2 linked regions of the Kluyveromyces lactis genome follow. The protein of the gene in region 1 binds, or shares a complex with, the protein of each later gene. Links are inferred from orthologs where the notes say so. Each region holds a gene or a part of one and is shown on either strand. Other genes may lie near its edges.

What was found.
Region 2: DRS2 (region 1) and LEM3 share a complex: the UniProt entries of both Saccharomyces cerevisiae proteins name them as parts of the flippase complex. The link is inferred for Kluyveromyces lactis from reciprocal best matches to the Saccharomyces cerevisiae genes DRS2 and LEM3.

Annotation. Positions count from the first base shown.
Region 1 is NC_006037.1:356,751-361,252, reverse strand, and holds the start of DRS2 (aminophospholipid-translocating P4-type ATPase DRS2), read left to right. Parts: upstream 1-1,597; coding exon 1,598-4,502. Other genes in the region: ribosome biosynthesis protein MAK16, read left to right, coding at 364-1,272. UniProt on the Saccharomyces cerevisiae protein: Catalytic component of a P4-ATPase flippase complex which catalyzes the hydrolysis of ATP coupled to the transport of phosphatidylserine and small amounts of ethanolamine from the lumen to the cytosolic leaflet of the trans-Golgi network and ensures the maintenance of asymmetric distribution of phospholipids.
Region 2 is NC_006041.1:202,213-205,772, reverse strand, and holds LEM3 (Lem3p), read right to left. Parts: upstream 1,920-3,560; coding exon 630-1,919; downstream 1-629. Other genes in the region: XRS2 (Xrs2p), read left to right, coding at 1-307; KLLA0_E02157g (uncharacterized protein), read left to right, coding at 2,511-2,882. UniProt on the Saccharomyces cerevisiae protein: Accessory component of a P4-ATPase flippase complex which catalyzes the hydrolysis of ATP coupled to the transport of glucosylceramide, phosphatidylcholine, phosphatidylethanolamine, and small amounts of phosphatidylserine from the lumenal to the cytosolic leaflet of the cell membrane and ensures the maintenance of asymmetric distribution of phospholipids.

The sequences.
Region 1 (4,502 bases):
TCAACACACGATTTTATCAGTTTCAAATAGTTTCATCCACATTTTTTTCGAACATATTTGAATGAAGGTTAATCTCTTTAGATCTAATCATGCATATTCCGACTCTTGATTAAGTTTCCGATTATAACAATAAAATATCATTGGTCATGTGACTAAAAATTTAGTAATCCATTTCTTTTTTCTCTTTCTGCCTGAAAATTTTTGAGAACTGAAAAATATCGATGCGATGCGATGAGATGAGATGAAATGAAAGAAGCAGCGACTAGCGGAATAGCAAGTAAACTTAGCGATAGTCATAACCAATTTAAATAAACTCATACTAAGCATAAACCAGTATCTGTAGGATTGACTGAACATTAGCAGATGTCTGACGAGATCATTTGGCAGGTTATCAACCAGCACTTTTGTGCGTACAAAGTCAAAACTGATAAGGGACAGAACTTCTGTAGAAATGAATACAACGTAACAGGTTTATGTTCGAGACAAGCGTGTCCTTTGGCAAATAGTAAATATGCCACTGTAAAGAACGTGGACGGAACACTTTACTTGTACATGAAGACCGCGGAAAGAGCTCACACGCCTGCTAAATTGTGGGAAAGAGTGAAACTATCTAAGAATTACACAAAGGCATTAGCACAGATCGATGAACATTTACTGTATTGGAACAAGTTCTTAATTCATAAGTGTAAGCAAAGGATGACAAAGCTTACACAAGTGATGATTACAGAGAGACGTTTGGCATTGAGAGAGGAGGAGAGACATTATGTCGGTATTGCTCCTAAGGTGAAAAGAAGAGAAGAGAACCGAGAACGTAAGGCATTATCAGCCGCTAAGATTGAAAAGGCTATCGAAAAAGAATTGCTTGAGAGATTGAAGAGTGGTGTGTATGGTGATAAGCCTTTGAATGTGGATGAAAAGATCTGGAAGAAGGTCATGGGACGTGTAGAAGACGAGGACTTGGATGAAGAAGAAAACGATTGGGATGAGGAAGAAGAAAGCGATGAGGGAGAAGTCGAATTCGTAGAAGATGAAGACGCTGAGGATGAGATGGTAGATATGGAAGATTTAGAAAAATGGCTCGGTGGTTCTGATACATCTGATTACAGCAGTGATGAGGACAGTGACGAAGACAGTAGCGACGAAGATAGCGATGAAGAAGAAAACCCATCTAAGAGACAAAAGAAATCTACACAAACCAGAAAGAGACATCCTAAGGTTGAAATCGAATATGAACAGGAACTAAATTCCAACCAACAAGAACTTGCACAATGATGCGTTTCTGAAAAACAGAGCTCGTCATGACCACATTTGTATACTATTAAATTTGACATATTATTATATTTATTGAAGATAAATTTCCAACTACGATAAAGAAGCAAAGGCAATAGTTAATAATTATATACACTTACAATAGCATCTCACCATCAATAGTATGTCCCCTTTCCCTTCATTTTGTTATACTGTACCCAAATAATGCATTCGAAATAGCAGTCACGTGGAAATATTGTTTCCATGCTGACAGTTTTTTCTTTGTAAATTATACCGGAAAATCCCATTAGGACACATTAAACAGAAAGATTCGTAAACCATTTGCACCATGAAACCCAAGTACTTTGAAAGGGAGATACAGAGCCAGAGAGGAGCGACACACCGATCAACCTGCTTTCCAATGAGTGGCTCAACTAAGCATGGCGACAGCGATGCGTTGTTTGATGTTGACTTTCTTGATGATAGCTACACCCCGGATTTACGGGATAGTCCAAGAAGGAACAGCCCAAGTGCAGTAATAGATTCAGGAATGGATACCTCACAGAGAGGCTTACTCCCACAAGAGACCATTGACCTCAGTGACAACATAGAGAACGACATTGAAAATCCTTTCAATGACCGTTATTCAGCATCCTTTGCAGACACTAACCCTAGGAATAGTGTCTTACCTCAGCCAAGTGGGTTCAATAGATTTATGAGCAATGTGAAAAGTGCAGTCGGTATGAATGGTGGACATAAGGGTCAATTCCAAAGTTTCGAAATGAATGACTACGATCAGAGCAACACTAATAGGTATGAAAGCTCTACGAGGAAGTTTGACATCAAAGTTTTGTTCAACAGGTATATTCTCAGAAAAGGGAAAACCTCTTGTAAGTCTGACGAGCCAAGAACGATTTTACTCAACGATAGTTCAGCAAATAGCCGTTTCGGCTACAGAGATAATCACATCTCTACGACGAAATATAACGCTGCAACTTTCTTGCCAAAGTTTTTGTTTCAAGAATTCTCCAAATACGCGAATTTGTTCTTCTTATTCACCTCCATTATCCAGCAAGTACCTAATGTTACACCTACCAATAGATATACGACCATTGGTACACTATTAGTAGTGTTAATTGTTTCTGCAGTTAAAGAAAGTGTCGAAGATTTGAAAAGATCGAATGCTGATAAGGAATTGAATCATTCCCTGTGTGATGTTTTGGACGAAAGATCTGGAGAGTTTGTGAGGAAAAAGTGGATTGATATAGCAGTTGGTGATATTATAAGAGTTAGATCTGAGGAAGCAATTCCTGCTGATTTGATCATTCTTTCCTCTTCGGAACCAGAAGGGTTATGCTACATTGAAACAGCCAATCTCGATGGTGAAACCAATTTAAAGATTAAACAGGCGAGACAAGAAACAGCAAACTACCTCGATGAAAAAGCTCTCTGTAAACTTCATGGAAGGGTACAGTCAGAGCACCCAAATTCCAGTTTATATACTTATGAAGGTACAATGACGCTAAATGGTAGCACTTTCCCTCTATCTCCGGATCAAATGCTGTTGAGAGGTGCTACGTTGAGAAATACTGCTTGGATTTTTGGCCTCATAGTTTTCACTGGTCACGAAACCAAATTGATGAGAAATGCCACTGCGACTCCAATTAAACGTACTGCTGTGGAAAGAGTCATTAATATGCAAATTCTTGCCTTGTTTGGTGTCTTAATTGTTCTAGCTTTGATTTCCTCCACTGGTAATGTCATTATGACGAAAAGGGATTCTGCTCACCTCGGATATTTATATATCGAAGGTACTAATAAAGCTGGCTTGTTTTTCAAAGACATACTAACTTTCTGGATTTTATTCTCTAACCTTGTTCCCATTTCCTTATTTGTTACAGTTGAAATGATAAAGTACTACCAAGCTTATATGATAGGTTCAGACTTGGACTTATATCACGAGGAATCAGATACACCTACCGTTGTTAGAACGTCATCCTTGGTAGAAGAATTGGGTCAAATTGAGTACATATTCAGTGATAAAACTGGTACTTTGACGAGAAATGTAATGGAATTCAAGTCTGTTTCTATTGCTGGCAGGTGCTATATTGAAACTATTCCTGAAGATAGACGTGCAACTGTAGAAGATGGAATTGAGATAGGTTTCCATTCCTTTGAAAGTCTAAAGGATAAAATGACAGATCCTGAGGATGATGAAGCAGGCATTGTCATTGAATTTTTAACCTTATTAGCTACTTGTCATACTGTGATCCCAGAGACACAAAGTGACGGAACAATCAAATATCAAGCAGCTTCCCCTGATGAGGGGGCATTGGTACAAGGTGCAGCAGACTTAGGCTTCAGATTCGATATCCGTAGACCTAACTCGGTCTCCATTTCAACCCCATTCAGTGAACAGCTTGAATATCAATTGCTCAACATTTGTGAGTTTAACTCCACTAGGAAACGTATGAGCGCCATTTTCAGAATGCCTGATGGTTCGATTAAATTATTCTGTAAAGGTGCAGATACCGTGATCCTCGAGAGGCTTGATAGTGAATTTAATCCATACGTTCAATCAACCTTGAGACATTTGGAGGATTATGCTGCTGAAGGTTTAAGGACTTTGTGTATCGCTAGTAGGACAATTCCGGAAAAGGAGTATGAAGAATGGAGTAAAATATATGAAGCAGCATCCACAACTATGAAGGATAGAACTGAAGAGTTGGATAGGGCAGCCGAACTGATTGAACACGACCTTTTCTTTTTGGGTGCTACAGCTATCGAAGACAAACTTCAAGAAGGTGTTCCAGAAACAATTCACCATTTACAAGAGGCCGGATTGAAAGTTTGGGTCTTAACTGGTGATAGACAGGAAACTGCAATCAATATTGGTATGAGTTGTCGTCTATTAAGTGAAGATATGAATTTGTTGATCGTAAACGAAGAAACTAAGGAGGATACGCGTACGAATCTCCAAAGTAAGTTGAATGCCATCGAGTCACATCAAATTTCACAGCAGGATATGAACTCGTTAGCTTTAGTGATTGATGGTAAATCATTAGGATATGCTTTAGAGGAAGATCTTGAAGATCAGTTTTTGACAATTGGTAAGCTATGTAAGGCCGTTATTTGCTGTAGAGTGTCTCCATTGCAAAAGGCTCTCGTTGTAAAAATGGTGAAGAGAAAAACATCTTCATTGTTATTGGCAATTGGTGATGGTGCCAATGATGTGAGTATGATTCAAGCTGCTC
Region 2 (3,560 bases), on another chromosome or scaffold:
AATTGCGAATACCGAACATGATTCAGGATTTAGGTTCTCGAACAGGGAATATTCCATTCCCACAAGGTCTCTGTTTGTGGCAGATGATGATGATGACGAAGAAAATGAAACATCCAATAATAGTGCACTAGCAATTTACGGTCAGAATAATGAACAGCACTATGAAGGTGTAGGGCCTGCTGCTGCTGTATCAATTAGGTCTCCTGCGACAGTTTCCACAGCATCATCGGTGGCTAAATTAGGTGATACGGATGACGAAGAAGATGATACCCCACGGTTCAATTTCAGATCTAGAAGGGAAATTTGATTCCTGTATAAATGTATAAATTTGTATAAATTTCCATTAATATTTTCACTTAATAACAAAACCTCTAACTTCATAAGTTTTTACAGCTTGTGGAACTTATTATTAGGTTTTTCTGACATGGCGGGTTCATTTTAGATAAAGAGTCTGTCCTTTCAACGATTATATTCTTAGCTTGAGACTCAGTGAAATGAAAAGTAGATACAACAATTTGTTCTCTATAGATTCTTCAAAAGAGTGCCAATTAGTTGTTATTGTAATATACAGAAAGATATAGTTAAATGAGGAGGACTAATAAAATCATAGAGAGTCATAGATAGAAGCATCATTTGTTCCATGATAATAAGTGAGTATCAGCCGTGGAGCGGCCCCAGAACAGATGAGATGCCAACGAAATCAGCGCAAGGATGAAACAAATACTACCTCCAACGAGATATATAATACCTGGAGCGGTGTTGCGTCCACCTAGAGTAGAACCGTGAGTGATGTATGCGGCTTTTTTACCATTGTAAATGGTAACGGGCCAATGAAGATCTATATCAAGTTGATATTGACCTTGTGGAAGTGAGTTTGCAGAACGTCTGATTAACCTTGAGAACTTCGAGAAAGCAGGTGTTCTCATCCAATTTTGAAACTCTTCCCATTCATGAATGTCCGGCATATTTGTATCATTATAACCGTCTGGGAATTGCTTTTTCCAGTAAGGTGGAGGAACAACTTCGGAAGGTGAATATTTCGTTTTCTTATAACGGTCTTTATCAGTTGACCAATTGATATTTTTGTTACTCAATTCAATAGTATCCACTTGGTCTCCACTATCCTCTGAGATCACTTGCATTGTATCAGGAAAAGTGTCATTAAACATTGCATTGGCTATTAGACCACATGGGTAGTAAATTTTTCCTGCACTATCTCTCACTAAGGGTTTACAGTTGATACCGATATTATCTTTGACTTGGCCTAAGGTAGCCTTGTCACCGATGATCTGGAATTCACTAAAGGACAACACGTATCTTCTGTGGTTTCCAAAGAAGTTTTCAATGTAGTAGTATATATACAAAGGACCCTCTAATGAATAAGGAGTTGAATATCTTAATTGACAGGTACCGGTCTGCAATTCCTCTGGATCTGGATCTGAATCTGGTACGTACTTCCATTGAGGAACAGGTAAATCGTCTTTATTATAAGCCTTGTGGAAAATGTATTTGTAATGGTCATCCGGTACGTCTGCGAAATCATCCGTTGGCGCGTTCGTATCACAGTCTTGGTAGAACACGAATATCTCATCGACATGTCTTGCATTATTGAGCATGACACCACCAAAAATTAGGAAAAGCGCTCCGAGGAAGAAATAGATGGGAAGCACTTTCTTGGGTGTTAGCACTGGATTGAAAGATGCTATTTTCTGTTGTGTAAATTTCGTCTCCTTTGGTCTTCTGGATTTAGGCTTCTTGACTACTTCATTTTCATCATCTTCAAATTCGGATGCGTCCACATCATCTTCCAATTCTACCATCGTATTGAGTCCATTTTCATCTTCTGTAGACTTTCCATCTTTACCACGTCTATGAAAGACTCCAGTTACACTTTTCCCTATATTCTTCAACGCTGTCATGGTCAGGACAATTTATATGTAGGAAGTATTGAGGGAAAAAGGTGGTTAAAACAAAAAAGAACAATTTCAAATCCGGTTGAAACACCTGTGACAGCGAGAAGGTTAACTGTCCAATTAAGTTTAAATAGAACCACTCAGTGTTTCTTTTGATATCCTGATCAACTCAGTTGACAACTCAGTTGACTGCTATACCCTCAAATTGTCATAGTTTTCCGTAACATTAGAGAAGAAGTAAAGTACAAATGAACCATCTTTTATTTTTTTTTATTTTCACTTTGAGAAGCCTTGATTATTTATTCAAAAGATTCGTGCAGGAAATTAACGGTTCAGGAAACCGAATACTGTTAAGAGACTTCCGCTTCGACGACTGGGGGGAAAGAGCTTATCATGTGCTGACACTACTTGTACGAACTAATCTGTGAGGTCATGCGATATACAATAATGATTAATAGCTGCGCTTTCGTGCAATATTGGGCATAATAAGCGCAGAGCTTATGTAATAGATTAAGCTATTCCCGCTGTGCTACAGAAGGCTAACCTTATACAAAACGTAAAACCGCCTCGAAGAAGAAAAACTGTTTGCAAGGTCACATGACATCAATATTTCTTCAAATCACGTGGACAACAACAACGACTTCTTTTTTTTTTTCCAGTTCAATTAGCCAAATCTCATGCACTCCTCAAGAATGCCAATTGACAGAACGGAGATGCAGAGAGAAACTCAGTGCGAAAGCAAGTACCAACCTTCTTTATACTGAATTGGTATCAGACACAACTGCTAGACACTTTCCCAGCACTGCTAATCCAAAGTCCGGCTACCGTTGGAATCTCTTCGAGACTTCGCACCCATTAACGTCATTTACCACGATTGACCGGCCGGAACGGCTTTACCAGGACGTCCATGATCCGGCCGAAATTGGACCATCTTTACCAACCCAGAGACTGACGCAGTTTCAACCATAGTACTCTGCTCTGAATCCTAATGTCCTTCTATACCCATCCTTTGGGCACCCAATCCAAAGATCATCTTTAACTAGAGGTGACGTGCGCCGCCAGACGGCAATTCGGTCTCTACCATAAGGCAACCAATTCCCCACCACGTAAGTACGCGTTTGCCTACCTTTTTCTTTGAGTATTTACACGTTTTTTTCCCTCTCCTTTGTGTATTCTTTCTGATAATTCCGTTCGACAGAATTCTTCTTAGAAGCAGCAGAAGAACGGCAGGAAAAGCTCATTGCATGAAACAGAACGTTAGGTTATTGTAATGATACAGGTGCTTTACTAATTGAGTTCAAAAGAAATTCTTTTTTTGTATTATGCTTATGTGTATATCAACCCTATTTACCGATGCTCGTTCCTAGTCATCCTAAGTAACCATCAATACTTGAAAATCTACAAAATGATAAAATCAGGTCTCTTTGTTATGGTTTTCTGGATTTCTTTTTGCCGATTCTGTTTAAACATTATATAAGTATATGTCATTACAAATCTGAACACAGTACAAATATGAGTTTCAGGATTTATTATTATGTCAATTGATGCAAATGTATAAAAGAAAGTGCCAGGGATCCAACTAGTAGCTGAAAGTGAGAGAAATAGTTGGTTTATATATATATTTTTCTTTTTCGGTTTGATCAATTT